4 linked regions of the Tamandua tetradactyla genome follow. The protein of the gene in region 1 binds, or shares a complex with, the protein of each later gene. Links are inferred from orthologs where the notes say so. Each region holds a gene or a part of one and is shown in the gene's direction. Other genes may lie near its edges. The genes, in order: SURF1, TIMM21, CMC1 and SMIM20.

Region 1 (7,504 bases):
AGAGCTAAAGAGTTTCTCCAGCTATCTTGTATTAACCCAGCTGTTTCAAAGAGCTAAATCTCTTAGGTTTGCAGTGATGGCTTTTGAATTTCTTCTTCAATGAACTGGACTGCTTCTGTGGCATAAACAGAAAATCCTATTTGTTAGAACCCTTCTGATCCTAAGATGTTGGGCTCTGTGAAGTCAGGGCTCCCCCACCCCCCATGCAGAGAGTTTAGTGTGACAGTTGTCATCTTTCCTGCCACAGCTTAGCTGCTGGATGGAATGGCTCCAGGGGACACAGGAAAGGGCAGCCAGTGGCGCTTTGGAACTTTGCAGCAAGACCCGTTCTAGCCTAACCCCACTGATTTATCCTTGGGGACAAGAACCTTCATTCCTGCCAACTGCAAAGGATGGCATCTAGTAATGGGGTTTCTTCTCTAGGATCCTCTGCTACAGTGGCAAAGAAAAGCAAATCCCAACTCCCATTAGGTGGTTTTGCTTTTAGACTGGTGGTTTCAGCCTGTCCAGGGAGCCAGGGCTCCTTGTAGCTGCTTCCAGGCAAGCGCTAAGCAAAGTAACAGCTTTTGCTTAATCATAGCAGCCTTGGCTGGTGTTTTCTTTGTATACTGTTAAGTTCAGGGTTCCATTTGCTTGGGGACCTACTGTTTCAAAGAACTTGAAACTCACCTTCCCGCGTTTCCGGTCCAGCGCCGGGGCCACCCCAGTCTCCCCTGCGAGCCCAGTGCCTTCCTCCCCAGCATCATCCTCACTTGCCATCAAAATGACATTGGTGTGGTCCCCATTCTCAGTCCTTCCTGGGGCCTTCTGGGTGAACAGCTCGGCTGGAAGGAGCAGAGGGAGCACGCTGAAGCTTGAGGGATGGACATGCAGTAGGAGTGAGAAGGGCCCAGACCAGAGCCAGGGATGCTGGTGGGAACCCCAGGACTAAGCCACAGTGAAGTGTGAAGAGGAAGTTGTACTGGGCCTGGCCAGGTAGAGAGGGCCTATGCTGCTTACGTGGGTACAAATCTGTCATGCTGTCATCGCTCTGGGCTCCTTCCTCGTCACTGGATGCGGGCTCCCAGAAGTGTGCTCCTCTGCCAAGCGACCCATCGCTATCTGTCTGGCCTTCCCTCCTACTCCTCTTGTGCAGCAAACAGGCAGGGACAAACTCCACTCCCTGCTTCCGGCACTCTTCATCTGGGAGGTAAGCACATGCTGCCTGGCACCTGGTGGCTCCCTCGAGTCCTGTGCATCCCCAACCAGACTGTGAACAGGGCCCTGGCACCCCTACCCACTGGGGCAGCTCAGAGCAGTGGCAGGCACACATCCTTGGCTCAGTTCCTGCTAAGTGTGCAGGGAGAGTAATGGGAGCCCAGAAGTCAGCATGGGCCCATGCGGCCATTGCCATCCTATCCCTCGTTCCAGCCAAGAGATAGAGGCTGGGAGCAGTAAACAGGCACAGACAAGAAGAGCTGTCCCAAGGGAAGGCGGACGTGTGGTCCTCCAGCATAGTCGGGCCTGCCACTCGCCCTGGCCCACCTTTGGCTGAAAGCAGTTCGCATTAGTCTCCCACAGAAGGCCCTCACCAGGACCCCCACTGATGCCTTCCATGCTGCCAACCCAGGGAAGCTGGGTCCCTGGTGTGGAGAGGCAGTGAGCAGAGGCTGGGTAGAGACAGCCCCCTAGGGGCCACTGTGGCTCCCTCACAGGGGTGCAGCACTAGGTCAGCCTGGGCACCAGGACACACCAGCTCCCTCTTCCTGCTTTCACCCCTCACTGGCCAGTCCTGCAAGGCCCTGGTCTCTAATTTCCCTGCCTGCCTCGGTCCCACCTTCAGGTGCCTGCGCTCCACCCCACCACAGCCTACACTACACCTCCCTGGGGCAAGGCAGCCAGGCCCCATCACCACCAGAAGCTGCACACGGACCTGGAGTTGTTCTTCGGACATCCTCGGCCAGGTCTCTGACTCCAGACCATTGTCCTAAAGTGGCCTCACTTCCTCCTTGTTTGGTCTCACGCCCCTGGTCCATCACTACAACTCGGTCCTTCCCTCTTGTCCTGTTGAACGCACTGCGAAAACCTCAGCCCTGAGCCCCCACCTTCCTCCTTCCTATGCCCCAGAGCAGCTGAGCATGCCTGGAGAAGACCCACCACCGGCTCTCATCTGGAACAGCGTGCTCTGCAAGCTGCCTGTTTTCTGCTCCTGAGAGGCCCATGTCCTGCCTTTTTGACCCTCCTGCAGCTTCCTCTGCTTTCACACTCAGGCAAAGACTGGCTTTCCATCCTTGACCCCACGTGGCAGGCTCCCGGGATGCTCACTCACGCCCCCAGGCTGTCTCACAACGCCACCACAGCCACCACAACCACCCTCGCTGGGGTCGCCAGGGCCCTCCAAATGGTCAAACCTCACGATATTTCTGTCCTCACCTTCCCTTCACCAGCAGTTGATGGAATCAACCCCTTTTCCCGGAGACCCTCCTCAGGCCCTGAGGCACCACTTTCAATGGGGTTCTCCCCCTCATGTGGCCCCTTCTCTGCAGTGCTCGGACCTTCCCCTCCTATGCTCACCCCAATGGGGGACACAAGCACCACCTCGGCCTCTATGACTTGTGGTATTGGAGTGTCTCAAGGACACTCCAATAATAGACCTGACCGAACATATCCCAAGGAACCTTAATTCTCACCACAAACCTGCTATTCAGACTCCATTCTGCTGCCTTGGTTACTGATACTCCCATCTACCTGAAGCCGGAAGGATCGAAGCAGATCATGCTCCATCCCTTGGTGGTCCTGGCCACGGCCTCCAAGGCCCTCTGTGACCCGGTCCCTCAAGCCCCCTGGCACGCTGCCACAATGGCCGTCCTTTGAATCTCTTCTGCCTCAGACCTTGTCCGGCCCCTCTCCTGCCCCTGGAGCACTGTGGCCCTAGCCCCATGTCCCTCAGGTCTCCACCAGAAGAGAAACCCTGGAGATCCTTTCCCACCCTGTCCAAGGTAGGCCTCTGGACACCTGCCTAGCACCGCCTTCTTTGCAGGCATGCCACAACTTGCAATTAGACTTCCAAGTCTGCTTCCTACACTGCACCCGTGCTTACTAAACCAAGCTCTCTGGGGCAGGACCACGGTCCACTGTCCTCTGTGCTTGGACTGGACCTGGGCACTGGCAAAATATCATGGAAGAATGCCCAAGATATCACCTTTGTCTCTGAGAAGTGGCTCTCTCTGTCACCCCGATATCTGCACTGAGAGGCAGGCTGTGTCCTAAGCACCCTCTGATGGAGGGTTCCTCCCCGCCCTCCCAGGCTACTCACATCTGCGCAGCGCCCTCTGGAACCGCCGGCCCTGGGTGTGCCGCAGCACGTGCTCTGGGGACTTGTTGATGTGTCGCAGGGTGAGCCTACAGAACATCTGGTGCCTGAGGGCAGGCAAAGTACAGTTGGAGGGCACAGGGACAGGTCATCAGAGGGCTCCCGGCCACCCCCAGTGGCTGATGGGACAGTCTGCAGCACAGCCTGGACACTGGGCCTTGCAAGAACTCCCCACCCAGTCCACCCCGCAGCAGAGGTGAATCACAGCTGATGGAGCCTTTTAGCATTTACCTATAAAATAGGCAGACTTGAGCCTCCTGGAATATTCCAGGGAGAAAGAATGCCTATTCACGACCTGACAGAGCTGGCAAAGTGCTCAACAAATGGGAGAACTCATCACCACCGAAGTCTCCCTTGTGATGCTTCCTGTCAACCAGTGCTCTCGGCTAAGCCAGGGGAGACGTGAAACCCAACACTCAGCATCTCAGGAGACGAAGCACAACCCTCATGCCCCCCTCGGCAGCAGGCAGGACACGCACGACAGCCTCGCGTGACAGCACAGGACATATGCTCCCCGGGCCCAGGGACCCTCCCCCTGGAGAACTGGTTTTCCTGGGAGAAGCGCTGACCCCGGAGCCCGAGGCCCGGCTCTGGACTCGGCCAGGCACTTAGGCGCTGGCCAGCCGGGTGCCAGCGGCCGTGCGGAAAGGTGCTGGGGAGACGGGGGCACCGGCCTGCGCGCCCCGCCCCGCCGCCCTCGCCCTCCCCGCGGCGCTGCCCACGTACGGGTGCTTGGTGCTGGGCACAATGTGCGGCTTCAGCTCCGCGTAGTCGAAGGACGGGCAGGCGCGGACCAGCCGCTGGTATTTCTTGCCGCTGGTGTAGACCTGGAGCTCCGGCAGGCGGCACGGCAGCTCGTGGCCCGTCAGGGAGCACCTCACCTGCGGGCGGGGCCCGGGGCCGTCAGAGGGGGCCTCCCCCGCCGCCCACCGGTCCCCCGGTCCGTCCGCCTCCCCTTCCTGCCCCGCCGCGGACCTTGGAGGCCCCGGGCTCGAGCCGCAGCGCCGGATGCTCGCGCAGGAAGGCCCGCACGTCGGCGTGGAGATCGACCATGGCTCGCAGCGCGCAGCCCGGCAGCTTCGGTTTTGCGCGGCGGGGAGGGACTCGGCGGCCACCCGGAACCGGAAGCTCCCGCGCCCCGGAAGTGTTCGCGGGCCGCCGGGTGCCATGGCGGCGGCGACGAGCTGGCTGGGGCTGCTGCTGCGCACGGTGTGCGCTGGGCCGAAGCGCGGGGGCAGGCGGGGGGGTGGGCATGAGACCGGGTCCCAGCGAGGGGCGGGCGGGACCCGGGCGGGCTGCGCGCCAGGGAGGGGGAGGCGGCGGCCGTAGGAGGGGAGCCAGGTCATCCCTTGTCTCCGCAGGCCCCGGCCGGCGCAGTCAGGAAACGCCTCTTGGGGGTCCCCGCGTGCCCAGGTGAGGATTCGGCACAGGGTGGATTTAGGGACCGAGGAAGAACCACCCGACTTTCAGCCCCTTCTTCTTAAAGGGGCGACCTGGGGATTAAAATAAATTCCGTAACCACCGACTGAATGTAAGCTCCGTGTGAAAGGGTTTCACCGTGAAATAACATTCTAGATTAAATGCCTCGTTATCAAGCCTCGATTATGTGCCCGGCGCCATAACGAGTGCTTTGTCCTCACAGCAATCAAGGGGAGGGAGTCCTGTTATTCCAGTTTTACAGATGAGGCTCCAACTAATGAGGGCCCACCTGAGATTGGAACCTGGCCTCTGAGCTTCAAACTAAAGCATATGTAAACGCCACATTTCCAGACTGCTTCTCCCTCCAGGTCAAGGGGCACTTTGTTCCCAGGAAAGTGCTCTGTACAAATAGGAGAGGGTACTTTGCCAGCCTGCTGCAGGCCTGCTTTTCTGTCATCTGAATGTCATAATGCTTTCAGCAGATGGGACTTGCCTTCTGAGAGCTTAAATGTGTCTTCTGTGTACATTGTTACATCTTTAAATTTATGTTGAACAATGAAAAAGAAAAGCTATTAAGAGAGCTTTGTAAACCACTGTCCTGAGTTTATGGCTGATACTTATTTCTCTTTATAATACAATAGCCAGTGGTGCCTGGCACATTAGCTGTTTAATAAATGTTTTTGAGCAAGCAAATCCCTAGTGCATTTTAGTGCAATAGAATACGTTTTAGTGTATTCATGAGCAAAAAGGCATGAAGTGGTCACTTATTTACTCAGGGTCAAGTGGCAGAGCTGTAACTAAGTCCTGGGTCTTATTTATTTAGTCAAACAAACATTTACTGAGCCTTTGCTGTGCTGAGCACTGGGTTAAGAGCTGGGCTGGATGCAGTGCTGCTCGTTGGCTCTTAACTGCAGGTTTTGATCTGTTCATTCCTCTTCCACATTCTCAGGCAACATTGGTGGTGTCTTCTTAAGAAATTTCTGCCCCAGTTCTATTTATTTTGGGGTTTCTGACCCCGTGCCAGTATTGTCAATTCAACAGTGCCCAACGCTCTCTTTTTTAAATTACAAAGGCATATACTTTCAATTGCAGGTAGGGGTTGTTTTTTATACAGGCAACTCTACGCATGTTCTGGGGTGGGGAATGATCCAGTTTTACCTAGGTTTTTGTTTTGTTTTTATCCCAATTAGGGAAGTTGTAAGTTTACAGAAAAATCATGAAGAAAATGGAGTTCCCATATGCCTCCCTCTTCCATTTTTAACATTTTTGCATTAGTGTAGCACTTTTTCCAGCTCTTTTGCTTCCTCTAGGGGTGGCCTGGAGGCTAAGCAGGTGTGGCAGTTCTACAGCAGAAGCACCTGCAACAAAAGCAGAGGATGACTCCTTTTTCCGGTGGCTCCTGCTTCTCATCCCTGTAACAGCCTTTGGCCTGGGAACATGGCAGGTAGAGTGGTATCTAGGTCGGGGGTTGAGGGGGGCAGGAACCAGTCCTCTGAGCTCTTGCCTCCCTGCAGTCTGCTCAGGAGTCTGCTGATGCTGTTTCTTAAGGTCCAACGTCGGAAGTGGAAGCTGAAGCTGATTGCAGAATTAGAATCTCGAGTCATGGCGGAGCCCATATCTCTGCCCGCAGAGTAAGTGTGTGGCTGCCTACCCTGAATGGGGCTCACTTGAGGCCAGCAGCAGAAGCCTGACTTCTACTAGCCACCTTGCCCCCGTTTGCCCTCAGATGGGAGCCCTCGAGATCAGTCTTTCTGCTGGGCTTCCTACTGAAACTGAACTGGGAAGCTGCTTGATCTATTCAGAACCTTCTCACCTGGTTTTAACCTTTGGTCAGGTGCATGTACATAAGCCCTCCTCTGTCCCCACCCCAGTGCTGATGGCTGTCCAGAGTAGTGATTCTTAGCTGGTGGGTGAGAGCAGAGGAAGCAGGTCTTAGCATGAAGGTATTATGAACAAGTGCCCCAAGTGATTATAGTCCTCCCCACATCATTTAAAAGCACTGTCCTAGAGGGAGCGTTGTATTCAATAAAGGTTCCCATTGTTTGACTTGCAAATGGAGCTTTGACATATTTTACTAACTTTATGTAACACTTTTGCACAGGAGTCCACACTTTTAGCTTCTCTTGGGAAAGTAGACTGTTTGGCAGCAGATCCTCATTCCCATATGGCATTGCAATGTTGGAGCTGAGGTTCAGCCATCCTTATTAGAGGGCAGACCCTGTGGTTTAAAGGTCCCTCCATTTCCTACTGCCTTCCCTTTTGACTCCTTGTCCTGCTCTTTTGGGTTTGTAATGTACAACATAAGCGTTAGAGGGTTTGTTTTCCTGTCCAGCCTTGCTTAGTCTGAAATCTGTTTATGCTTTTCACATAGCTCCACAGAACTGAAAGATCTGGAGTACAGGCCAGTGAGGGTCAGGGGGCACTTTGACCACTCCAAGGAACTGTACATGATGCCACGGACCATGGTGGACCCTTCCCGGGAGGCCGGCCAGATCTCCTCCTCCGCCAAGAGTGGTGCCCACGTGGTCACCCCTTTCCACTGCTCAGACCTGGGGTGAGTAGCAGGTATGGCAAAGGTGATACCAGGGCACAGTGACGAAGTTGTGGCAGAAAACCCATTATCATTCTTTTCTTCTCATCCCTCAACCTTCGTAAGACATTGGGGAACTCTCAATCCAAGAAAGGTTCAGTTCCTTGAATTGTCAAGTCTGTAATTCTGTTACTTGTTAAACC
Region 2 (6,948 bases), on another chromosome or scaffold:
TATTAGAGAGCATTCCCTACAATTTGCTCAAAGGAAATCCTTCAAGAAAAAATGAAAAGACATTATACAGTAACTCAGAGCCATATGAAGAAATAAAGGATACTGTTAAAGGTAAGTACATAGGTAGATATAAAAGCCAGTATTATTGTACTTTTGGTTCGTAACTCCTTTTCTTCTCCTATTGATTCAAAAGGCAAATGCATAAAATAATTACAAAAATATGTTAATGGGCTCATGATGCATATAGATGTAATCTATGCCATAATAATATAAAGAGGAAGGCACAGAGAATTATAGGACTAGAATGTGTATATACTATTGAAACTTAGTTGGTATTATTCAAACTAGATTGTTAAAATTTAAAGATGTTAAATGTAAGCACCAAAGTAACCATTAAGAAACAACTATAAAACACACAAAAAGGGAAAGAAGGGACTCAACATGGTACATCACAAAGAATCAGCTAAATACGAAAAGGGCAGTATTAGGGAAATTAAGACCCAAAAGACTAAGATAAAAAATAAACACAAGATACACAAAAAACAAATAGCAAAATGGCAGAAGTACCTCCTTTATCAATAATTATTTCAAATGTAAATGGATTAAAATCTTCAAATAAAAGGTAAAGACTGGCAAATGGATAAAAGAAACATACATCCATATGCTGTCTACAGACACTCATTTTAGATACAAAGACACAAAGACATTTTAAGTCTACAAGTCTTCACTTATTAATTCAACCAAATATTTAAAGAAGAATTCTAATCAATCCTTCCCAAAATCCTCCAAAAAATTGAGGAGGAGGAAACACTTCTTTACTCATTCTATGATGCCAGCATTACCCGGTTATCAAAGTCAGACAAATACAAGAAATACAAGACAATACAAGAAAACTATAGACAATATTCTTTATGAATACAGATGCAAAAATACTAAAACATAAGTAAACAGATTTCAGCAGTATATCAAAAAGGATTGATTATACACCATGACCAAGGGGATTTACCCCAAGAATGCATAGGGTGGCTCAACATATGAAAACCAATCAATGCAATAAACCACACTAATAAAATTAAGGGGGAAAAGACACATGATCACCTCATTTGGCACAGAAAAACCACTTGGCAAAACTCCTTTTTCATAATTAAAAAAAAAACAACCTCAAACTAGGAATGGAAGGAAACGTCTTTAATATGGCAAACACCATATATGAAAAACTCTCAACTAACATCATTTTCAGTGGTGAGCGAAAGAAAGCTTTCCCCCTAAGATCAAGAACAAGACAACCCACTTTTGTCACTTCTACTCAACACAGAACTGGAAGTTTTAGCCAGAGTAATTAGCAAGAAAAAAAAAAATAAAAGGCATTCCAATTGGAAAAGAAAAAAATGTATCTCTATTATCAGCTGACATGATCTTACATTTAGAAAGCCCTAAAGAATACACACACACACACACACACACACACACACACTGTTAGAGCTAATAAAAGAATTTGTCAAAGTTGCAGGACACAAAATGTGTTTTATATTAACCAAGGAAGCACAAGACTTGTATACTGAAAACTACGATACAATGCTGAAAGAAATTAAGGAAGGCATAAATAAATGAAGACATTGTCATGTTCTTGGATTGAAAGACTGAATATTTTTAAGATGTCAATACCACCCAAAGTGATCTACAGACTCAATGCAATCCCTACCAAAATTCCAAGTCTTTTTTTTTTCAGAAATGTAAAAGCCAATACTCAAATTCATATGGAACTGCAAGTGTCCCAGAGAGCCAAAGCCATCTTGATAAAGATGACTGACTTTAAAACATGTGACAGTAATGAAAACAGACATAAGGACAAAATAGAACTGACAGCCCAGAAACGCATAGATGTGAATCTATGGTCTACTGATATTTGACAATGATGCAAAGACCAAGCAATGAGGGAAGAAAATGTCTTTTCAACAAATAGTACTGGGAAAACTGGATATCCATAAGCAAAATAATGAAGTTAGACCCTTACAATATACCAATACAAACATTAATTCAAAATACATCAAAGACCTAAATTTAAGAGTTAAAACTATAAATTTCTTAGAAGAAAGTACAGGGGCAAATCTTCACAAGAGTGGACTTAAAATTTGGCATCAAAAGCCCAGATAAAAAAATAGAGATAAATTATATTTTATTAAAATTAAAAATATTTGTACATCAAAGGACACAATCACAAAGGTGAAATGATAACCCACAGAATGGGAGAAAATATCTGTAATAATATATCTGCTAAGGGCTTAATGCGCAGAATATATAAAGAAGTCCAACAACTCAACAACAAAAAGAAAAACAATCTAATCAAAACACGGACAAAAGACTTGAGACGACATTTCTCCAAAGAAGATACACAAATATAAAACACAAGAAAAGATGTTCGATCATTAGTCTTTAAGGAAATGCAAAGTAAAAAAGGAGATAGTAACTTAAACCTACTTGGATGGCTATAACTTTTTAAAAAGAGTGTTGGTGAGGACATGGAAAAAGTGGAACCCTCATACATTGCTGATGGAAATGCAAACAGGTGCAGTCACCAGAAAAAACTGGTGGTTCCTCGAAAGTTAAACATAGAACTACCATACAATCCAGCAATTCCACTTCTAGGTATATAATCCAGCAGTTCCACTTCTAGGTATATACCCAAAAGAAGTGAAAACAGGGACTTGATATTATTCACAGCAGTTAAGGTCGAAACAACAGAAGGACAGATAAAATGTGGTGTATACATCATACATCCAAAGGAATATCCAGTCACCGAAAAGAATGAAGTTCTGATGCACACTCTACCACAGGATGGATCTTAAAAACATCATGCTAAGCGAAATAAACCAAACACAAAAGGACACTCAGTATGAAATAAGTGGGATAGGCAAATTCATAGACAAGAAATAAATGAAAGATTACCAGGGCCTGAGAGAGGATGGGAGAATGGGAGGTATTAGTGGGCACAGGGTTTTGGATTGGGGGTGATGTAAAAAATTGGGGGAATGTGGTGATGGTTGCACACTTTATGTCATTAACTCCCATTAACTGTACACTTAAAAATCGCTAAATTGACAATTTTTATGTCATAGAAACGTGTGTATGTGCATGTTTACCAAATTAAAAAATAAGCCACGGCGAATCTCCCAGAGGGAACAAATAGGAAAGGGGAGTTGGGGTGATAACCAGCGAGGCGCACCGTGCAGAAGCCAGAGGGCCTTCCCTCAAAGCAAGAGCACCACCCCGCGCCTCCCTTCCAGCGCACGCCCACCGGTAAGACCTCTAAGGGCCTTCCTGACCATCACCTGAACAAAGTGGCCCCAAAGCACGTGGCGGCCTCTACTGCGATTCTCGTCGGGACACCAACACCCCCGAGGGGCCGGCTTAGGGCCCCCAGTCTGGGGCTGCGCTGAGGCTGTGGATGGAACCTGCCGCGTCCGGTCGCCATGGAGACTGGGCGCCTTCCCGACGCGCGTGCGCAGGAATGCGGCACGCACAGCGGCCGCCAAGCAATGACCCGCGCGGTTTAATGACGCAGCCCTAGCGTTATTCTAGAAACTTCTGGGACCCTTTTTTTTCCCACGCCCAGAGCGTTCTGACAGCTTGCCCGAGCAAGTCAAGCACCGCAGGTCGCTGAAAAGCGGGTCTGGCTTTTGGCGGGCCTAATCGCTTCCCATTTGCTGGTTCGCGCTGCCTGAGGCGCTGCCTGAGACTGCCAGAGAGAACGGCCCAGCCACAATTAAAATTGAGACTATCCCAGTTTACCCAGACCTCTCCAGTTAGGTGACTAGAACATGCAGTGTAAAACCGCTACTTTGGCAGCAAGGATTTAAGATCTGCTCAGACTAGGCCCGGAGGCAGCGCCAGGATTGTGAGGCGCAAGCGCAGGCAGCCCGCGCGGGGGATCCTGGGAGGAGGCGGGGACCGCGCGCACCCTGCCCGCCTTGCATTCTGGGAAATATAGTCCTCAATGCCTTCCCCACTGAGGCGCCTCAGTGAGGAGCGACGTTATCGAACTACTCTTCCCAGACTCCTGTGCGTTTCCAGGTACTTCGCGAAGGCATGGCTGGGTGAATGTGAATGTCAGCGGGGAAGGTTAGTCAGAGCGTTATAATTCCAGTGAAAAAAGGACTGATGAGAAGGGAAGGTGAACGTCGACTTCTCTGCAGAGACTTTCCTCCTAGTGTAAACTGCAGGAGCCGACATTTTACCGCACACGCCGTGGAAGATCATCTTTGTTTACGTAAACGGCCGGTTGGGTGTGTAGTCGCTTGTGAAGTTTATTGTAGTTAGCGGTTTGCCTAAGCGGGGCCGCCGTCTGTGAACATGATGTGGAGTTTTCTACGCGCCGTACAGTATACGGAGAGGCTGCGCAGGTCCTCGGGGAAACGAGTGTTTTTGCCTCACGCTGTGCTTCAGAACGCTGCCTTGACGACTGGGCCCACCTTGAGATGGGCGCTGCCAGAACAGAGGAAACCTGTGCGGCTTGGATGTACCCTTGGAGGGACCCAGAAAAACATCTGGACGCAGGGATGGAGTCCGCGGAGGGCACAGGAGGACAGCAGCAAACAAGTGTCTGTGCAGAGGAGTCAGAGCGAAGGACCTGCGGTCTCCACGGCACAGAAAGGTAAAAAGGAAAACTCCAGTAATGATCAGCTCGTCAACAAACGTGATGAAGCCCTTTTTACACAAAATTCAGAGCTAAAAATTGAAAAATAGTTCACACACACGCACACACACAAAGGTAGAACCCATTAAACACAATCTAGAATCAGAGAGAATGAATTTATTCCTCAAGTTTGAACTCAGATGTGAAAGTTGAGACTGAATTTGTTATGAACTTGTTGAATTACATCTGGAAAATTTTTTCTCAACTTGTGTTAGCTACATAACACTTTTTAGTTAAGGAAATTTGCCAGATGTTATTTCATCTCATTTGAGTCTCCATGATTCTTTCAAGTAGAATTTAGAACTTTTCCTTTTATGTGCCAGGCATACCTCCGCAATACCACACAACTGAAAATTAAATGCATATATTTCCTGTGTCAGTTTTCCTAATATCCAGGCTGGTGTTCTTCAAGACAGCAGTTCACAAGATGAGCTTCCACCGACTCTATACTTTGTACTGGGATGGGTGCTGTTTTAGTTTGTTAATGCTGCTAGAAATGCAATATACCAGAAGTGGGTTGGCTTTATAAAGGGAGTTTATTAAGTTACAAATTTACAGTTATAAAGCCATAAAAATATCCAAACTAAGGCATCCAGAGGAGAAATGCCTTGACTCAAGAAAGGCCGATGGAGTGTGGAACCCTTTGTCAGTTGGAAAGGCATGTGGTTGGTGTCTGCTGGTCCTTCAAGCAGTTTTCCCAGGGATGTTTTCTTTCTGCATCTCCAAATGTCTCTGTCTGTGTCAGTTTTAAATTTTTTCAAAACAGTTCCCTCTTAAAGGACTCCAGTAAGTGACCCACCTTGAATATGAAGAGACACATGTCCTTGGAAACAACTTAATCAAAAAGATCCCACCTACAATTGGGTAGGTCACATATCCATGGAAACAACCTAATCAAAAGAAACCACCATAAATAGTAGATCTGCTCCCACAAGAGTGGATAAGGAAAAAGAACATGGCTTTTCTGGGTACACTATAGTCTCAAACCAGCACAGGTTCTGATAGCTGTGCCAAGGAAGTTCTATATGGAAATAGCTTACCTCTTAATTGGGAAGAAAATAGCTACAGGACATGAAACGAAGAGTGAAAAAAAGATTAATTGTGCTACATAGAAAAAGTACTAGACAGCGTAGAATAAAAGAGTGATTAAATAGATTGAAAATAGATACATTGGGTAATTATCAATATGGAAAACTTTGTAGTTCAGACTCAATAAACATCTCCGATTAGTAGCTTTGTGTTCATGAGCCCATGAGTTGGGGATGACAGAAACTGCTAGGTTCTGTATCCGTGGTTTAGTACCTTTTCCATAGTGAAAACTTTCTGGTGGGCATTAACATGATTCAGTGAACTTCATATGCTTTGGGCCCATTCCCATGGGTCCATCCCTATGCCTTTCCCCCAGATCTCCTGTTCCCTTATCTTCTAGTCTTTCTCTTTCCAAGTCCCTGATGGAACAGCCAATATATTTGTACCTCAGGCTACTTACTTACTTTTCCAAAAAAAGTGAATGACCAGAAATGTCCATTGGAACAATTTCCCTTCATCTCCGTCTTTCAGAGCCACCCCTGAATGAAACAATCATGCAGAAGCAGTCTGTTTTCATCTTGCTCCCACATAGCAAGCCAGCCCATCCATGAACCAAGTTTGGCCTTGTTGCTCCTCTTTTGCCGGTCATGGGACCCCATTCGTGTGAGCTGCGGGGGAGCTGTGCTGGCAAAGTAGAGTGAGGTCTTCTGCCCTTGCCGAGGCCCAGTCATAGGTGTCCACTTCTATATGGCAGTGGAAGCTGCTTGGACCTGCCCAACTTCATGACTTGCAATTGCACTGTGGCTGTATGCCAGATAACCTAAGCAAGGCAGGGGTGAATGTGGTGCAGGGGCAGTCAGGAATCCAGGGCAATTGAAGTGAAAGGCCTGAGCCAGGTAATAGGAAAGAGTATGACAGCTTATTGACATAGTTGTCATTGTATTCTCAACTTGGGTCTCGGCACACAGCTGGCAGAATACTTATTAAGCATATTTTGTGACATCAATAGAGAATGACTGGTGGTTGTGAGTGTATTTGTTTTCTTAAATAAAATTTTTTTTTTAAATAAAAAAAATAGAGAATGGAATGGAATATTCTCATTGTAGTTCTCTCTACTACTGAACCTTGAGAAAGAGATTGGCTCTGTGGTGGCCTTTATCATCTGAATCAGTCCCATGAATTACACAGATTTTGGCAGATGCAGTGTTTTGTTCTGTTTTGTTTTG
Region 3 (7,706 bases), on another chromosome or scaffold:
AAGACTTCATGGTGCATAATTATGTTTATATAAAGTTCCAAAACAGGCAAAACTAATCATTGTCCACAGAAGTCAGGAGAGTGGTTACTTTTGTGGGATGGGTTTGATGAGGACCAGACAGGAGGGAACCTTCTGGGCTACTAAAGATATTTCATATCTTGTCCTGAATAGTAGTTTGAAGGTGTATACATATGTAAAAACTCATTTGGCTGTACAGAAATTTGTGCTTTTTACTGTATATAAATTATACTCAATACAGAAGTTAAAAGGCAAAAGTTGGGGTGAAGAAGTTAGCATTTACCATTGTTTAGCTCCAAAGTTCCTATCTTTCCCCTACACACTTAGGCAATTGGTTTCAAATTTTAATGTTAAGTAGAATCTCAACTGTATTATTCAGATAATGCATAGAAAAATCTGCATTTAAATTTTAATAAACTATTTCAAATAGTTTAATCTGGCAGAAATTTCACAGTTCAAGGAGGCTTATGATGAAAGCATAATGCAGTAAGCCGGGATTGGTTTATAAAGAGTTTTATGAACCTTGTTAAAGGGAAGCACTATTGTGGATGAAATGGATTTGAGAGATGGGATGGGAGGAGGAAAAGTCTAGAAACAGAGAGCCAGTTGGGAGGCTGTTGTAATAATCTATGCAAAAGTGAATAGACTTTAAGAGTTGTGACAGTGTGGCTTGTAAATGAAATAAACGTATATTAAGTAAGGAAAGGAGAATTGAGTGGATGTTGTGATTAACGGATGTGGGCTTTGAAGGACCTACAGGAGCTGTTGAGGTAGAAAGGTGGTGTCTTAGTTTGCTAGAGCTTCTATGACAAATACCATAAAATAAGTTGACTTAAAGAGCAGGAATTCATCGTTTCATGGTTTTGCAGGATAGAAGTACAAAATCAAGGTTTCAACAGCCATGCTTTCTCTCTGAGTCTGTAGCATTCTAGTGCTGGCTTGTCTGTCATCCTTTGGGTTCTTTCACTTGCATCTCTCTGCCTTTGTTATGAGACAATTTGCTTCATTATCTAACTTCTGACTTTTGGCTTCTACTGACTGACTGCATCTAAATTTCTTCTGCCTTATAAGGACTCCTGTTGTATGGATCAAGGCCTTCACTGATTCAATTTGGCCTCATCTAACTAGGATCTCTAAAGAGCCTATTCATAAATGAGTCTACACCTTAACTTATAATAACATCTTCAAAGGCCCTATGTACAAATGGGTTCATACACCTTAGATCTTTTGGGAGGGATATGATTCAGTCACTGTTTTAGTTTGCTAGCTGTCAGAATGCAACACACCAGAGACAGATTGGCTTTCAATAAAAGGGGATTTATTTAGTTGACATATAGTTCTTCAGAGGAAAGGCAGCAAACTTTCAACTGAGGTTCTTTCTTACGTGAGAAGGCATATGGTGAACTCTGCTGGCCTTCTCTCCAGGCCTCTGGGTTCCAACAACTTTCCCCGGGGTGATTCCTTTCTGCATCTCCAAAAGCCTGGGCTGAGCTTCAAGTGCTGAGATGAGGTATGCTGAGCTGCTTGGGCTGTGCTATGTTGAGCTGCCTCATTTAAGCACCTGCCAATTAACTCAAACATCATTCATTACAGTAGGCACGACTCTTAGCCAACTGCAGATGTAATGAGCAACAGATGAGGTTCATGTACCATTGGCTCATGTCCACAGCAACAGAACTAGGTACCTTCACCTGGCCAAGTTGACAACTGAATTTAACTACCACAGTCACCAATAGGTGGACTGATCCAGATTGATGGAGACCCTATTCAATCACCAGGACAAACAGGGACAAAGTATGTTGCTTTGGGGGAAGGCTAAAACTAGGCAGGTTTTTAGGACTGTAGCCAAGTAAGTTGGGATTCACATAAGGATTCCAGTCCTTGTAAAGAACTTGAATGTCAATTTCATACAAACTGTGTTTACTTGGAGAGGGCTTAGGCCTTGTGGATAGGGCTAAATCATGCAGCTCAGAAAGCAGGCAGGACCCACTGGGGATTCTTGGATAGTGCTCTTATAACCAATACTTCATTCCAAACTCGATTTACTAGTAGGGATGTGACTTCTAATATTCTTCCAAACTTAATTATCATTGGCTCAAGGACACGGTAGAACAGAGCTATAGGTGAAAAATTGTTACTTCTGATGCTGGGCAGAACTGGAAGCAGGCAGAGGCTGACTGATGAATCTCAATTAAAAAAGAAAACTAACTGGATTTCAATAGCTAACAAAAAAGGAATGCTAGATCCAGTCAGAACTGACTTGATAAACAATTAAGATATTTGTTTCTATTTGCACATTCCATGGATATTAGATTAATAAATATATATGTGTATGTAAGTTTGTATTTATTCATTCCTATTATTTTTAATGTACGGTCTACATACTAAATACCCCATCTCTCTTTGCCTTCACAGGCTGTACGGGAGTTCAACTAGTGTCATTATTCCCCTGGATTCCTGCAACTGCTTCCTAACTGACCTCTCTGTTTTGCCCTCTAGGAGAGATCATTTGAGGCATGAAAGTGCACATGGCCATGATTTTCTCATTTGTCTGTATTCAGTTGCGAAGGAAAGGAATCACAGAGAGAATCCTTCTTGACTCCATGTCCCTTTTTCTCAGTTCAGTGATGAGCTATAGATTCTTCCTTTGCAATTACTCTCACATCTTTTCTCATTTCATTTCTACCTATCCTAGTTTACACTCTCATCAGATCCTGCTTGAACTACTGCGATAGCCTTCTCATTGTTCTGCTAATCTTCTGGCTCTCTCAACACCTGAATCCATCCTGCAAAAAAATCTGTGTAAAACATCACTTTGCACATCATGCCATTTATCTACTTGCTAACCTTCAATAGCCCCTGATAGCTTATTACAATAGATTTAAAAACACTCAGCCTAACGTTGGAGGCTTTGGGAATGTAGCCTCTTTCAATGTTTCCAGTTTCACTTATACCTACCCTGGCTTTCCAAATTCTCTTTGAGGTGATATTTTTGCTATTGCTTTTCATAGTATGTTTTGTCTAGCCACCCATTTTCTTGGACACACAAAACTCCCATGATTTTACAGATGTTATTGTTTGGGATGAGCCTAAAGTAGATAGTGTCCTTTTAAGTTTTTTAAAAGTGTGTTAATTTAAATGAAAATGTTAAATTATAATGCTTAAGTGATATTTATGGCACAAACTATGGAAGGGATCATCAAATGACCAAAACTGGGTGCATTAGATCAGACTCATTCCTCACAGCAACCCTGCAAATTAGAAATCATAAGTCCAGAGAAACACTCAAATTTCTTCACGTCACAAATAGGTCATGATACAGAATTCAAGGTCAGGTACCCAAGTCTCTTGGACCCAAGCTCTTCAAGCTTTCCACTTTATCTCGATGTACTTTAATTGCTTGAGTGGAGGTGTCCGGCTTGTGGTTTTCTACAACCCCGCCTCATCGCATCAAAAAGATTTGCTTTCTAAATTAAATCCCTTACCTCCAGAAAAATAAGAGTTTCGAGGTGTTTCTACAGCACATTTATAAAGCACACAAGGAAAAGGACCGGATTTCTTGCCTGACTGAGTGAAACGCTAATTCTGCACCTTGGCACCTCAACCTACAGCTGTAATAAGGCCCGTTATGCCCGCATAGGCCCTTAAACAGAAGACCTGCTGAGCAGAGACCCACTTTCCCAGCCCTGCTCAACTGTGTCAGCTTTTCTGCCAACTGACCAGGCGGAAGCAGCAGTAGGGGAGGAGGCACTGCAGGTAGGTGGGGAGGGGATCATTTTGAAAGTCCTAAATCCCTCGCAGGGAAAAAACAGCTGCTCCTTGTTTTTCTAAACATCTGTCCCATCTGTCCCCGGCCGCACTTCACCCTTTGGAGGCTCGAGCTAGTTAAACGTGGATTTGACAAGGAAGCACTTCGGAAAGCTGGTTAGTGAGTTGGGATGTGCACAGTGCCATCGAGAAAGTTACTGCTACTCGGAATAGGGCAACTGCAGGTCGATAGGAGGGCGGCCATAAACTTCCTTTAGTTTTCTCACAAAACTTACGGCTTTAATGGACAGAATCGGGATTTAAGAGAATGTAATTGCCACTGAAAACGGACTGTAGGCCCAGAGGATATTATTTCACGAGAGGTGTCCTTAGCGTCCTGATTTTTATTTTAACCTCTAGGGGAGGCATAGCCTGCTGTTTTGGAGGAAGAAATAATGGTACCGCACACACCATTCCACCTCTATGGTAGAACACGCTGTGCACCTCTCGCGTGTGTGGCGTTTATCACATTTAACAGCATGTTGTTTTTGTCTGACTCCCCTGCCAACATTATGCCCCTTGAGAACAGGGACATTATTTCCTTTTTTTCTTTTTTTTTAAGGGACCTTATTTTTATTCACTTATTTCCCCCTAGTACTCAGAACCGTAGCTAGCAAACTGGCAGGCATGAAATGAATGAAGTACGTTAAGTAAAAAAAAAAAAATAAATAAAGGAACAGGGTAATTCATTTGCTTCTTCGAAGGCAGGCACGAGAAGAGCTCGGATTTAGACAGACTCTTGCAGCCGGCCACGCCCCCTGCCCGGGGTCATTCCCGGTGAGAAGTCCGTTCCACCCGGGAGTAAGAGGGTCAGGGGCGGGCCCAAGACGGCGCAGGCGCAATGAGCGGCGGAAGTAGGAACTAGAGAAGGGAGAAAAGAACTTTGCCCAGCTTCGCCGAGGACGCGGCGCTCCTTCTTACGCTTAGGGCGGCTCTGCGTGCGCCTGGGACCAGGCCCCTCCCCTCCCCGCCCATTGCCCGGGAGCCGCCAAGCGGCTGCCACCTCCTCCGCCCGCTGAGATGGCGCTCGACCCCGCAGGTACCGGGGAGCGGGGGTTGCTGAGGGGCCTCGGCCCGGGGTCTCAGGCCGCGGGCGTGCTCTCTGGGGGTCGGCCTGGGAAAGGTGCCGAGCTCTGGGGTTGCACAGCTTCCGCAGAACACCACCTTACGCCAGGCGACTGATTGAGGGTTTCTGGCCGGTCCTGCCTCCTACTTAGGGTTGTGGTTCGTTCTCCCGCGCCTTGGAGTTGGAGTTAGGGAACTGAGGAAATCTAGGTTTGTGATCTAAACTCTGGTCCAGTTACATTTTCTTCTTAAACGCGGCTGATTTCTTCATCGTCATCCTGTACTTCGCCCTCTGGGACAGTCTCCTTTATGTTTTTTCTTTGTATTTTTTTGGGGGGGTGGGTGGCACAGTCTCCTTTAAATATCTGATGTCTAGTATAGACACTTAACGTCTCGAAAAAATTTGCATTATTCCTGCAGATGCACAATTTTGCATTCCTTTTCGGGAGTTAACATCCCCCAAGTTTATCCTTGGAACCCAATTTTAAAACCCCAATTTAGAGGACATAGTCACTGTGGCAAGTCAGTTTCTTGGGAAAGGTTCCCTAAGTCTTAATGGTACTTAATTTTCATACTTCTTCCCCACCTCTGTTTGCAGCAGGAGTTTCATTTGCACTTCAGACACCCTCCTTGCAAACGCACACCTGCGATGTCTTTGCTTTAAGCTATTTATGTATAGATATGAAGCATCATTTTTTGGAGCGAGGCAGTTGACCTAGTCCATTTCCTTCATTTTATGGATACGGAACCCCAAAGCTTTAGGAGGTGAAATGGCTTTGCCATTCATAAATGAAAAAGACACTTTAGTGGCCCTCAAGGAGGATGAAAGTTGTGTATCGTGCAGAAGTAAAACATTTATTTCACTCTTTTCCAGCCCGTTAAGTATTCTCAGTTATCCAACAGTAGTACCTTTCGTGGTATATACTGTCTCCATTTTACAGATTAAGAAACTGAGATTCAGAGAGGTTAATTTACCAGTCAGTGATAAGATGAAGGAGTACTCTGAAGCATAAAGGAGTTGCAGGAGCATATCATTTTACTAATTTTAGGGTAGGTAATTGGATCAGGCTCTATTAAGCAGTTGGCATTTAATCTGGGCTTTGAAGGATGGAATTTCCAGTGGTGAAGAGGTAGCAGAATGAACAGAGGTATAGGAATTAAAGTGCACTGTGTAATGTTTAGATGCAGAGTGAATACTCTCATTTTGCTGTTGAGTGTGAGAGGGATATAATTAAGGAGTAAGGAAAGTTCAGGTCCATATATTTCTGGTATTTCTGAAAGTGACCTTGAAAGTCATCTAATCTGCTCTTTCTCATACAGATGAAGAAACTGAGACTCAGAGAGGGTAAAAGCTTCAAAACATCCATATTCTTGAATTTAAACAGATAAGGAAATTTAGAAAAAAATGTTCATACTTGTATCCACTCTCGTACCTTCAAGTCACTCTTAATCTCCTGCAATCTCTTGTTATGCCCAAAGCCACACAGCTAATTGCCAGTAGAGCCAAGTCTGGATAGAATCCAGGTAATTTTATTCACAGTCCAGTGTTATAGGCCAAGTTACCATTCAAATATTCATTAATTGAACGAATACTTTTTGAATGTTCAGTATTTGCAGGTATTGTTCTAGGTCCTAAGAAATAGTGGTATATAGAACACAGAAGATCCTTGCTCAGAATAATTTGATAGATGAAAGAAAACAACACCCCTATGCCTCCTTTACAGATTGTGGTAAACATTATGAAGAAAATAAGCAAGACCATGTGATAGATGCTGAGGAGAGGCTACTTTAGATAGTTAAGAGCTCTATGAGAAGTGTCATATGAATGGAAACTTGAAGGATAAGAGGAAGCAACCACGTCAGGAGCCAGGCAAAGTATGCTAGGCAGTTGAAGTAGCAAATGCTTGAAGTATTGAACTAGAATGAGGGCCAGAGTAGGGAGGAGATCCATAAGGAAAGTTCAGGTCCGTATATTTCTGGTATTTCTGAACTGAAAGTGATCTTCAAAGTCATCTAATCTGCTCTTTGTCATACACGTGGGAAAATAGGCAGGAGCTGGAAGCTGCAGGGCCTTGGAAGCATGATGATAAGTCATTTGGATTTTTTCTGATGTTATCAAAATCCTTTGAAGGTTTTTACAGAGGGCAGTGACACTATATAATTTATGTCTTTAAAGTGTGCTGGCTGCAGTGGTAGCATAGATTGAAGGGGGTCATGATGGAAGCAGGGAGACAGTAGTAGTAGTCTAGGCTAAATATGTTACCATTTTGGCATAGGATGGCATTAGAAAAAATGGAGAGAAATGTAAGATTCATTTTATGTTTTGAAGGAGAAATGGACAGGATCTGTTGTTGCTTTGGATTAGGATGGTGAAGGAAAGGGAGGAAATAAGGATAATTTCCAGACTTTTTACTTTATCAACTGAGTAGATGGTGGAGGTCAAATCTACAACATAAAGATTCTTGGAGACTTCAGCAAAATCAGGGATAGAAGCAAGATTGGAGTGGGTTAAGAGTGGAAGGTAAGAAAGTGGAAACAGCAAGAATCAAGACTTTTTCTATATTTTCTTGCCTGTGTAAATTTAAGAATATAAATACATCAAAGCTAGGCTCTTTTTTGTTAAAGCCTCATTTTTGTTTGTTCATAAGTTGAAGCCTAGGTTTGTTCACATTTGCTACTTGACTGTTTTTTAATTTTTTATTAGAGAAGATGTAGGTTTAAAGAAAAATGCTTAAATTACACAGTTCCTATATACCACCCTGTTGTTAACCCCTTGCTTTATACTGTGCTACATTTGTTACAATTCATGAAAGAAC
Region 4 (7,112 bases), on another chromosome or scaffold:
GGATCAAGTAAGTAGGCCTTGATCTTGAAGGCATACTTCAGGCATGTGAGGTTGGGGTTCAGCAGGGAGGCTGGGCCTAGAGGCCTAGCTCTATTAGTCATGAAGATCTTAGTTAAAACTGCAGGGGCATAATATGACAAGAGATAAGCCAAGATGGTTATTTGGGATATACTCTTACATATAAAAGACAGACCAAAGAAGAAACTTATCTGAGTCATAAGTATTTATACAGATGGGTAGGAACTTAGAAAGTCATTGTACCCCCTGAAAGCAGGAAAACATTTCCCCTACTTATTCTCTTATTCTCAAAAGTACACATCCAGAGAATCCCACCCTGTTCCATCCCCCAAGTTTCTAGTCTGTTTTCCTGCACAGATTAATGATTCTTCTTGGGAATCCACAATATTCTAAAAATACATCAGTTGGGCTGCAATGCCACAATTAGTGGAGCTGCTGTCCCAGGAAACCTTCTTCACCATTCTGCTTAGATCAGAGAGTGGATTAACTTTGATGTCTGTCTGAACCCTGTAAGAGACACCACTGGCGGTCTGCTCCCCACCAGCACTCAATCTTCATATTCAGGAAGAAGGAGAAAGTGCTGGATAGGAACCTAAATCAATTTTTTTTTTTTACTGAATGAAATGAAAATATGCACCCTAGGATTCTTGACATATTTGACTTGCATCCTCTTTCTCTACATCCCTTGGATGCTTTCTCCTTTTGCATAAATGCCTTTCTCCAGACCCAAACTTCCTCTGCTTTCACAAACATTAGCACAGCTATGCAGCCACCAGTGCTTCATCTATGGCATGTGTTGGAGGTAATGTTCATTTCTACATCCATCAGAACTCCTGGTGGCCACCAACTGAAACAAGCTCTGACTAACTTAAACACAAAGGGAGTTTGCTGGAAGGATATGGAGTGGCCTGCAGAACACAGTAAATGATCAAAGAGTCAGGCAGCAAAGGGAAACAGCCAGGGAAGCTCCAGGATTATTGGCAAGTGGGAGATATACAAAAATCTCATCTCCACTACAGCACTGCTATCTGCCCTAGTGTCATCATTATCATGATTCCTATCTCTGGGAGAGAAGAACAATTGAACCAGGATGGATCATTTGCAACTACAGGCAACACTAGTTTGCTGACTTTGTAAGGCAAGTAAGAGCAGGTCTCCAGAGCCAGACAAGCTGGGTTTGTCTGCTTACTGGGTCTGGTGCTTACTAGTCATGTAATTTAGTTTCCTAAGCCACTCCAGCAAATACCAAGAAATGGGGCAACTTGAACAATGAGAATTTATTAGCTTACAGTTTTGAGGCCAAGAAAATGTCCAAATCAAGGCATCACCAAGGCACAACTTTCTTCCTGAAGACCGGCTGCAGGTACTCCTAGGCTCCTCTGCCACATGGCAAGGCACATGGCGGCATCTCTTGCAGGTTTCATTGATTTCAGCTGCTTGCTTCCGTGGTTTTCTTTCCCTCTCTCTGTATTAATTCTGTTTATAAAGGACTTCAGTAACAGAATTAAGAGCCATCCTCATTGTGTTGGGCCATAGCTTAACTGAAGTCGTGTCATCAAAAAGTCCTACTTACAATGGATTCACACCCACAGGAATGGATTAACTTTAAAAATATGTTTTTCTGGGGTACATACAGCTTTAAACCACTCTACCATGTGACCTTGGGAATGTCCTTCTTACTATGTCTCAGCTTCCCCGTCTGAAAATGGTACTTATCCCCAGGTGTTGCTAAGTGCTGAACGAGTAAACCTATGGTAATAACTGGGAAACGGCAAGTGCTCTGCAAGTTCTTATTAGGAATATTGCCTAGAAGTGTACAGGAGACCCGAACTTATAGTCCAACTGAAAATTTCAACATGACAGGAAATCCCCTGAGAGCAAATCAGGTGCCAGTTTTTGGGGACACTGAGTGACCAAAAAGCAGTTACTATTCACTGCCACGTCTTATCCCTCTAACAGAATGTAGATGCCACAAGGACAATAGACTGTGCTGTTTTACTCACGGCTGCATCCAACAGCCCCTGAAAAGTGCCTGGCGCATAAGGCCTAGCTCAATGACTCTTCATTAAGTATATGAATGTTGACCAATTCCTTTTGGTGTTTCCAAGCATCTTTTACAGTGCTTTGCCTGGAGGAAGCACAAAATAAGTATTTGTTGTCTGAATTTACAGGTCAGTGGGGAAATAAAAATCGAAGAGGGTGGTTTTCTCAGAAATGGAGAGAACACTGTGATGGAAGAAATGAACTTGCCTTTTGTAGGACTCGTTGGCAGGTAAGTGATAAATAACAGCTTTTTCTTTGGTGCCATGATGCTAATAATCTGCACAAATGGTATAGATGAGTTAATTACTTTTGCTGGTCAGACTAAAGTCTTAAGATCAGCGTGAAAGGGACAGATAAACCACAAGTCACTTGCAAAACACCCTGGAGGGGATGGTGGCTTATTTACCACATGGGTTCTGTGCCCTGCCTTGGAGGTGCTTCTGGTAACTTGCCAGGAAGCCCAGATCCTATGGCACTCTCCATACAGAGGCCCCAAATATAACTTCAACATCTGGTTTCTCTTCCTCTCTCAGCTCTCCTTCTGCTGTGCTGAGTCCATTCTCAGTCTCTAAGTGGTGGTTAGGAAGTTTGGCCAGGCTTGGTTAAATGCTTAACTCTTAGAGCTGGGAGAAGTAAGGATGGGGTCTCACTCCCATGGACTGAAAGTGGGAGAGGAGTGGTTCACCAAAAGATATTTGAGGTATTATTAACAGTCAAAAGGGAATGGATGCTGGATTGCTAAAATGACAAATGTGCACTCCCCCTGGGTATTCCATAATATGTGATATAAAGTATGTGTCACAGGTTCACTCTTTTCCATGAAGGCTTCTATCTGCACCATTGCAAGCTCCTCCAAGTGCCTGAGGAGCAGCTGTCTCATCCATCTTCCTATTCTGAACCATATCACTCATCTTCAAAAAGCTCCATCAGGTCATTAGTTATCTGTCCTGTCTCTTCAGCCATGCAGAAGGATCCTGGAGAGCAAAGGTCACGTCTGATCCATCTTTGTGTCCCTGTAGCACTTTGCCTGATGTTTGGGGCAAGGCAAATAGTCCATACATGTGCTGACAGATCGAACAACTAATTTATATGCTTCTGGAACCACAGAGGTAGATGGTAGCGTGATTCAACTACAACACTACCAAAAATGAGGAAAGCTGTGCTCTCCATATCATTTCTCAAATATATTAGATCTTCTTTAGGCTAAACAATGCTGGTGGATCAAAATAAATTTTTCCTTAGCTCCTCAACCCCAGCTACTGGTATCATCCTTATGTATAAGGGGCTGAGAGAAGGTCCAAGGAATCTTAGTCCTCCTGAGCAGTCTGCCAGGAAGGGAGGTGAGGTGAAGAGGGTGGGGGGTGGTGGTCAAAGGAAGAGGAAGCAGATGTCGGTTCTGGGAGACCCACACCCCACAGAATAAGGCAGCGCCCGCGAGGTGGGACTGGCCGCGGGCTCTGCCTTGCACTGACCCCTGCCTGAGTCTCATTGCAACCCTGGCATCCCAAAGAGCAGTATAGGAAGAGAGGAAAGGAGGGAGAAACGCAGTCAGTAACACCAGGCAAGTCTTGATCCAGGGGTCTCAGTGGCCCCGGGTTTCCCACAAACTACCCTCTACAAGGCCAAGTGACCTGTCCAAGGCCGCGCAGCCGAGCAGTGTTTCCCTCACCGGTCAAAACAGGCCCACTGGGGAAAGAACGAGAGAGCGTGGCTGGTAAAGGAGGGCCTGACAAAGGGGGTTCGGAGGGTGATAGGTGAGGGAGAAACCTGAGGAGTCGTGAAGGAGGAGGCAGGAGACGGCATGCGGGAACCAAGCGCGGTAAAAGGTCAAAGCAAAAACCGCACCTGCGCGGGGAGCGAGCGAGTGTAAGGCGGTGGAGGGCGTACCGGGCCCCGCCCCTCCTCGCCCCTGGCCCCGCCCCTCCTCGCCCCTGGCCCCGCCCCTCCTCGCCCCTGGCTCCGCCCCTCCTCGCCCCTGGCTCCGCCCTCGACTCCAGGCCAGCCCCGGCCGGCCTCCTAACTCCGCCCCCAAGACCCGGAAGCGAACCGGAAGCGAAAACCGCTCCACCTTTTCCCAGTAGGGTCACGGCCCGGCGGACGGGAGCCGGGGTTCCGAGACTAAAGAGCGCTTGGCGGGTCAGAGCAGCCCGTTGCCCGGAGCCATGTCCCGGAACCTGCGCACCGCGCTTATATTTGGCGGCTTTGTCTCCCTGATCGGCGCCGCCTTCTACCCCATCTACTTCCGGCCCCTCATGCGGCTGGAGGAGTACCGTGAGTGACCTCTGACCCCGCGCGGCGGCCTTGAGCCCTGTCACCCCCACGCCCTCCCCTTCGCCCGCTGCACCTGTTGCGGAGGAAGGAGGCAGGCCAGGGTTCGAATCCCGCTCTGTGCAGCTTTGTGGCCGTGGACAAGTGATTTAACTTCCCAAACCCTGAGCGTCCTTATCTGTAAAACCGGGAGAATAATAAGAGTGCCTTCGGGGCTCTTGGGAGGTTCAAACGTGATAATCATGTATGTGAAAGGAGTCTGCACATAGTAGGTCGGCGGCAAATACTACGTCATCCTCATAGTTAACGTTCACTAGAAGTCTGTTATGTGTCCGGTTAGGCGATGCATTTTAATTTTCCACAGTCTGATTGGTTGCTGATATTATCACCCCGTTTTACAGATGAGGAAGTTGAGACACTAAGAGATGTGGTAAAACTAGTAAGTGGCAAGGCAAATATGCCAAGCTGGCTTTGTCCCCAGAGCCTCATCCACACAGGGGAGCTAGGAGTGGTGGTCAGGCGGGGAGGCAGAACCCTGATGATCTTGAGCTTAAAAGGTATTTTTATTGTTCCTCATTTCCACCCCTAAAGATGTCTTTGAGTGGAAATGTTCCAAACCTGAGCTGTTAACCTGGATTTTTTAAGTTCTTCTCCTTTCTGCGCTTAATATTTTTCCTGATTCTACTGTTGTGGTTTTTTTTTTTTCTTTCTTTTTTCTTTTTTTCATTTTAAACTAGTTGCTCACAAGACAATGGTGAATATCCTGGGAGTAATTTTCCTCCTTAATCATTCAAGTCCTATCATTCTAAAAGCCAAACTCTCCTTCCCTGAGACCTATACCTCAGCAAGGATTAGCACTTTGATATATCTGAAACCATCTGTCAGAGAAAAAATATTAGGCATTAGAGGCTCATTTTGTTCTCCAGGAAACCTGAATCATCTTGTAGATGGAAGAAGGCTAACCCTGCCCCTTGAGAATATTAGCGGAGGCTGAAAGCTTGGCGATTTGAAGGCGAAAGCTCCATGTAAATGCACTGCACATTGCAAAGGCTACAACACTTTGTTTCTGGAGGCAGAGTGTTTTAAGTACACATGTAGATTTCCCTGGCTTTTTTTTTTTCATCATCCAAAGACTGAAATGGCCTCTGTACTTTCTGCTCTCCAGCATATCTCCCTGCACTACTGTGGGGGTAAAAGTGGGGCTGTCAGAAACTCTGCCTAATCTTATTTCCAACCTCCTTTACTGGGTCTTTATCCCAGGCTATTTTATTACAGCATCTAGAGTTGAATTTGGGATAAGGGGGTCTGCTTTGGATCCCATTAGAAAGGTTTGATCAGTTCTTAACTCCGGTGATTTTGCCCATGAGGTGGACATACGTCTGGAGACCTTTTGGGTTATCACAGATTTGGGGGGAGGGTAGCCTATTGCCTGCCCACTTTTCTGACCCAATTTTAATTTATTTGGCCAAGTTTACTGGAAGTCATAGCTGGAAGGTAATACTAAACCATGAATACTTGTTGAAACTTTGCTGTTTGTCTGGTGCTCTTCTAAGCATTTCATATGTATGTTAGGTCATTTAATTCTCAAAACAACTCTGTGGTAGCTTCTATATGATCATCATTCCCATTTTAAATGTGGGGAAACTGAGGTATGGAAAACTTAAGCAACCTGGACATGGACCCACAGCTGATGAGTCCCAGATCTGGGATTTGAACCAGTACCCTTAATCAGTACAGTATAGCACCATATTACCTCTCTAAGGGCGTAAGAAAAGAGAGTAAGGCTGAGAATAATCTGAATTAATCCCTTACTAGGTGGGTGACCTAAAGTCACTTAACCTGAGCCCCTCCTCTTTCCTCATCTGTAACAGTACAGCTTACAGGACTGAATTTACAGGTTGTTGTGTGAATGTAATGAGGTCAAGGGTGGGGAAACATCTAGTGTAGTGCTTATACAGTACTTATATTAAGCATTCCATTAAAGCTTTTGAAAAATAAGGAACCATAGGCAGCAATGTGAGATGAAGAGATTTAAGTACGTGGGCAAAACCCAGAGTTTGCTGACCAGGTAGTAAATCGGGTTCGTGCAGGTGGGGCATTCATGACTGCATCATGGGATAGAGCTTCAGTTCATTTCAACACATTCAACCTGTATTTATTTAGTCTCTTTTCACTCATTGTTTTATTGTTTTTATTTTTTTTTTTATGGCTCAAAACTTGAATAGCGAAGGTTCATGCTCAAATATGAGCATAGGCATTCTCAAAGGAAGAGAAGCAGTCTGAGGCCAGGATCCTTGCATTATAAGGACTTGGAGGGGTCCTCTCTACTCTAGCAATGCTAATAAGGGATTGCTGAGCTGTACTTTTCATTGGTCATTTTCAGGTGCTAACGTGAGCAAAGGCTAGGTGTGTGTGGGCTAAGTATGTGGGGGCTGGATATGTGTGCCAAAAGGAGCTTTTTGATATGGGGTTTAGGGTCACTTCCCCCTCCCTCCTTCCGTATCTAACCTGCCTCATTCTGCACTCAGAGAATTCCGTCCCTCAATCTTAAGGGATGCTGAAGGGAGGAGTTCAGTCTCTGTAACTACTTCCTGCTGACAGAGGGGGCATTGTCCCTGCTTAAATGGGAGCAGAATTCTCTGGCTATCATATCTAATGATTCTTCTGGGAGGGTATAGGGGTTTTTGCATCTTTCTTGTTCTGGTGTCATTCCTTGGTTGTCTGTTGATGTTTTACAAGAGTGTTCAATCTGTACCCATGTCTCATGCTGTTACTGTTGAGGT

The links.
Region 2: SURF1 (region 1) and TIMM21 share a complex: the UniProt entries of both Homo sapiens proteins name them as parts of the MITRAC (mitochondrial translation regulation assembly intermediate of cytochrome c oxidase complex) complex. The link is inferred for Tamandua tetradactyla from reciprocal best matches to the Homo sapiens genes SURF1 and TIMM21.
Region 3: SURF1 (region 1) and CMC1 share a complex: the UniProt entries of both Homo sapiens proteins name them as parts of the MITRAC (mitochondrial translation regulation assembly intermediate of cytochrome c oxidase complex) complex. The link is inferred for Tamandua tetradactyla from reciprocal best matches to the Homo sapiens genes SURF1 and CMC1.
Region 4: SURF1 (region 1) and SMIM20 share a complex: the UniProt entries of both Homo sapiens proteins name them as parts of the MITRAC (mitochondrial translation regulation assembly intermediate of cytochrome c oxidase complex) complex. The link is inferred for Tamandua tetradactyla from reciprocal best matches to the Homo sapiens genes SURF1 and SMIM20.

Annotation. Positions count from the first base shown.
Region 1 is NC_135328.1:133,183,525-133,191,028, forward strand, and holds the start of SURF1 (surfeit locus protein 1), read left to right. Parts: upstream 1-4,499; 5' UTR 4,500-4,519; coding exon 4,520-4,561; intron 4,562-4,713; coding exon 4,714-4,765; intron 4,766-6,081; coding exon 6,082-6,215; intron 6,216-6,319; coding exon 6,320-6,402; intron 6,403-7,142; coding exon 7,143-7,325; intron 7,326-7,504. Other genes in the region: SURF2 (surfeit locus protein 2), read right to left, coding at 32-115, 670-824, 1,000-1,182, 3,296-3,399, 4,079-4,233, 4,328-4,405. UniProt on the Homo sapiens protein: Component of the MITRAC (mitochondrial translation regulation assembly intermediate of cytochrome c oxidase complex) complex, that regulates cytochrome c oxidase assembly.
Region 2 is NC_135344.1:8,310,539-8,317,486, reverse strand, and holds the start of TIMM21 (mitochondrial import inner membrane translocase subunit Tim21), read left to right. Parts: upstream 1-3,946; 5' UTR 3,947-4,350; coding exon 4,351-4,651; intron 4,652-6,948. Other genes in the region: FBXO15 (F-box only protein 15), read right to left, coding at 3,330-3,472. UniProt on the Homo sapiens protein: Participates in the translocation of transit peptide-containing proteins across the mitochondrial inner membrane.
Region 3 is NC_135341.1:60,023,900-60,031,605, reverse strand, and holds the start of CMC1 (COX assembly mitochondrial protein homolog), read left to right. Parts: upstream 1-4,684; 5' UTR 4,685-4,845; coding exon 4,846-4,864; intron 4,865-7,706. UniProt on the Homo sapiens protein: Component of the MITRAC (mitochondrial translation regulation assembly intermediate of cytochrome c oxidase complex) complex, that regulates cytochrome c oxidase assembly.
Region 4 is NC_135345.1:26,179,700-26,186,811, forward strand, and holds the start of SMIM20 (small integral membrane protein 20), read left to right. Parts: upstream 1-4,091; 5' UTR 4,092-4,223; coding exon 4,224-4,332; intron 4,333-7,112.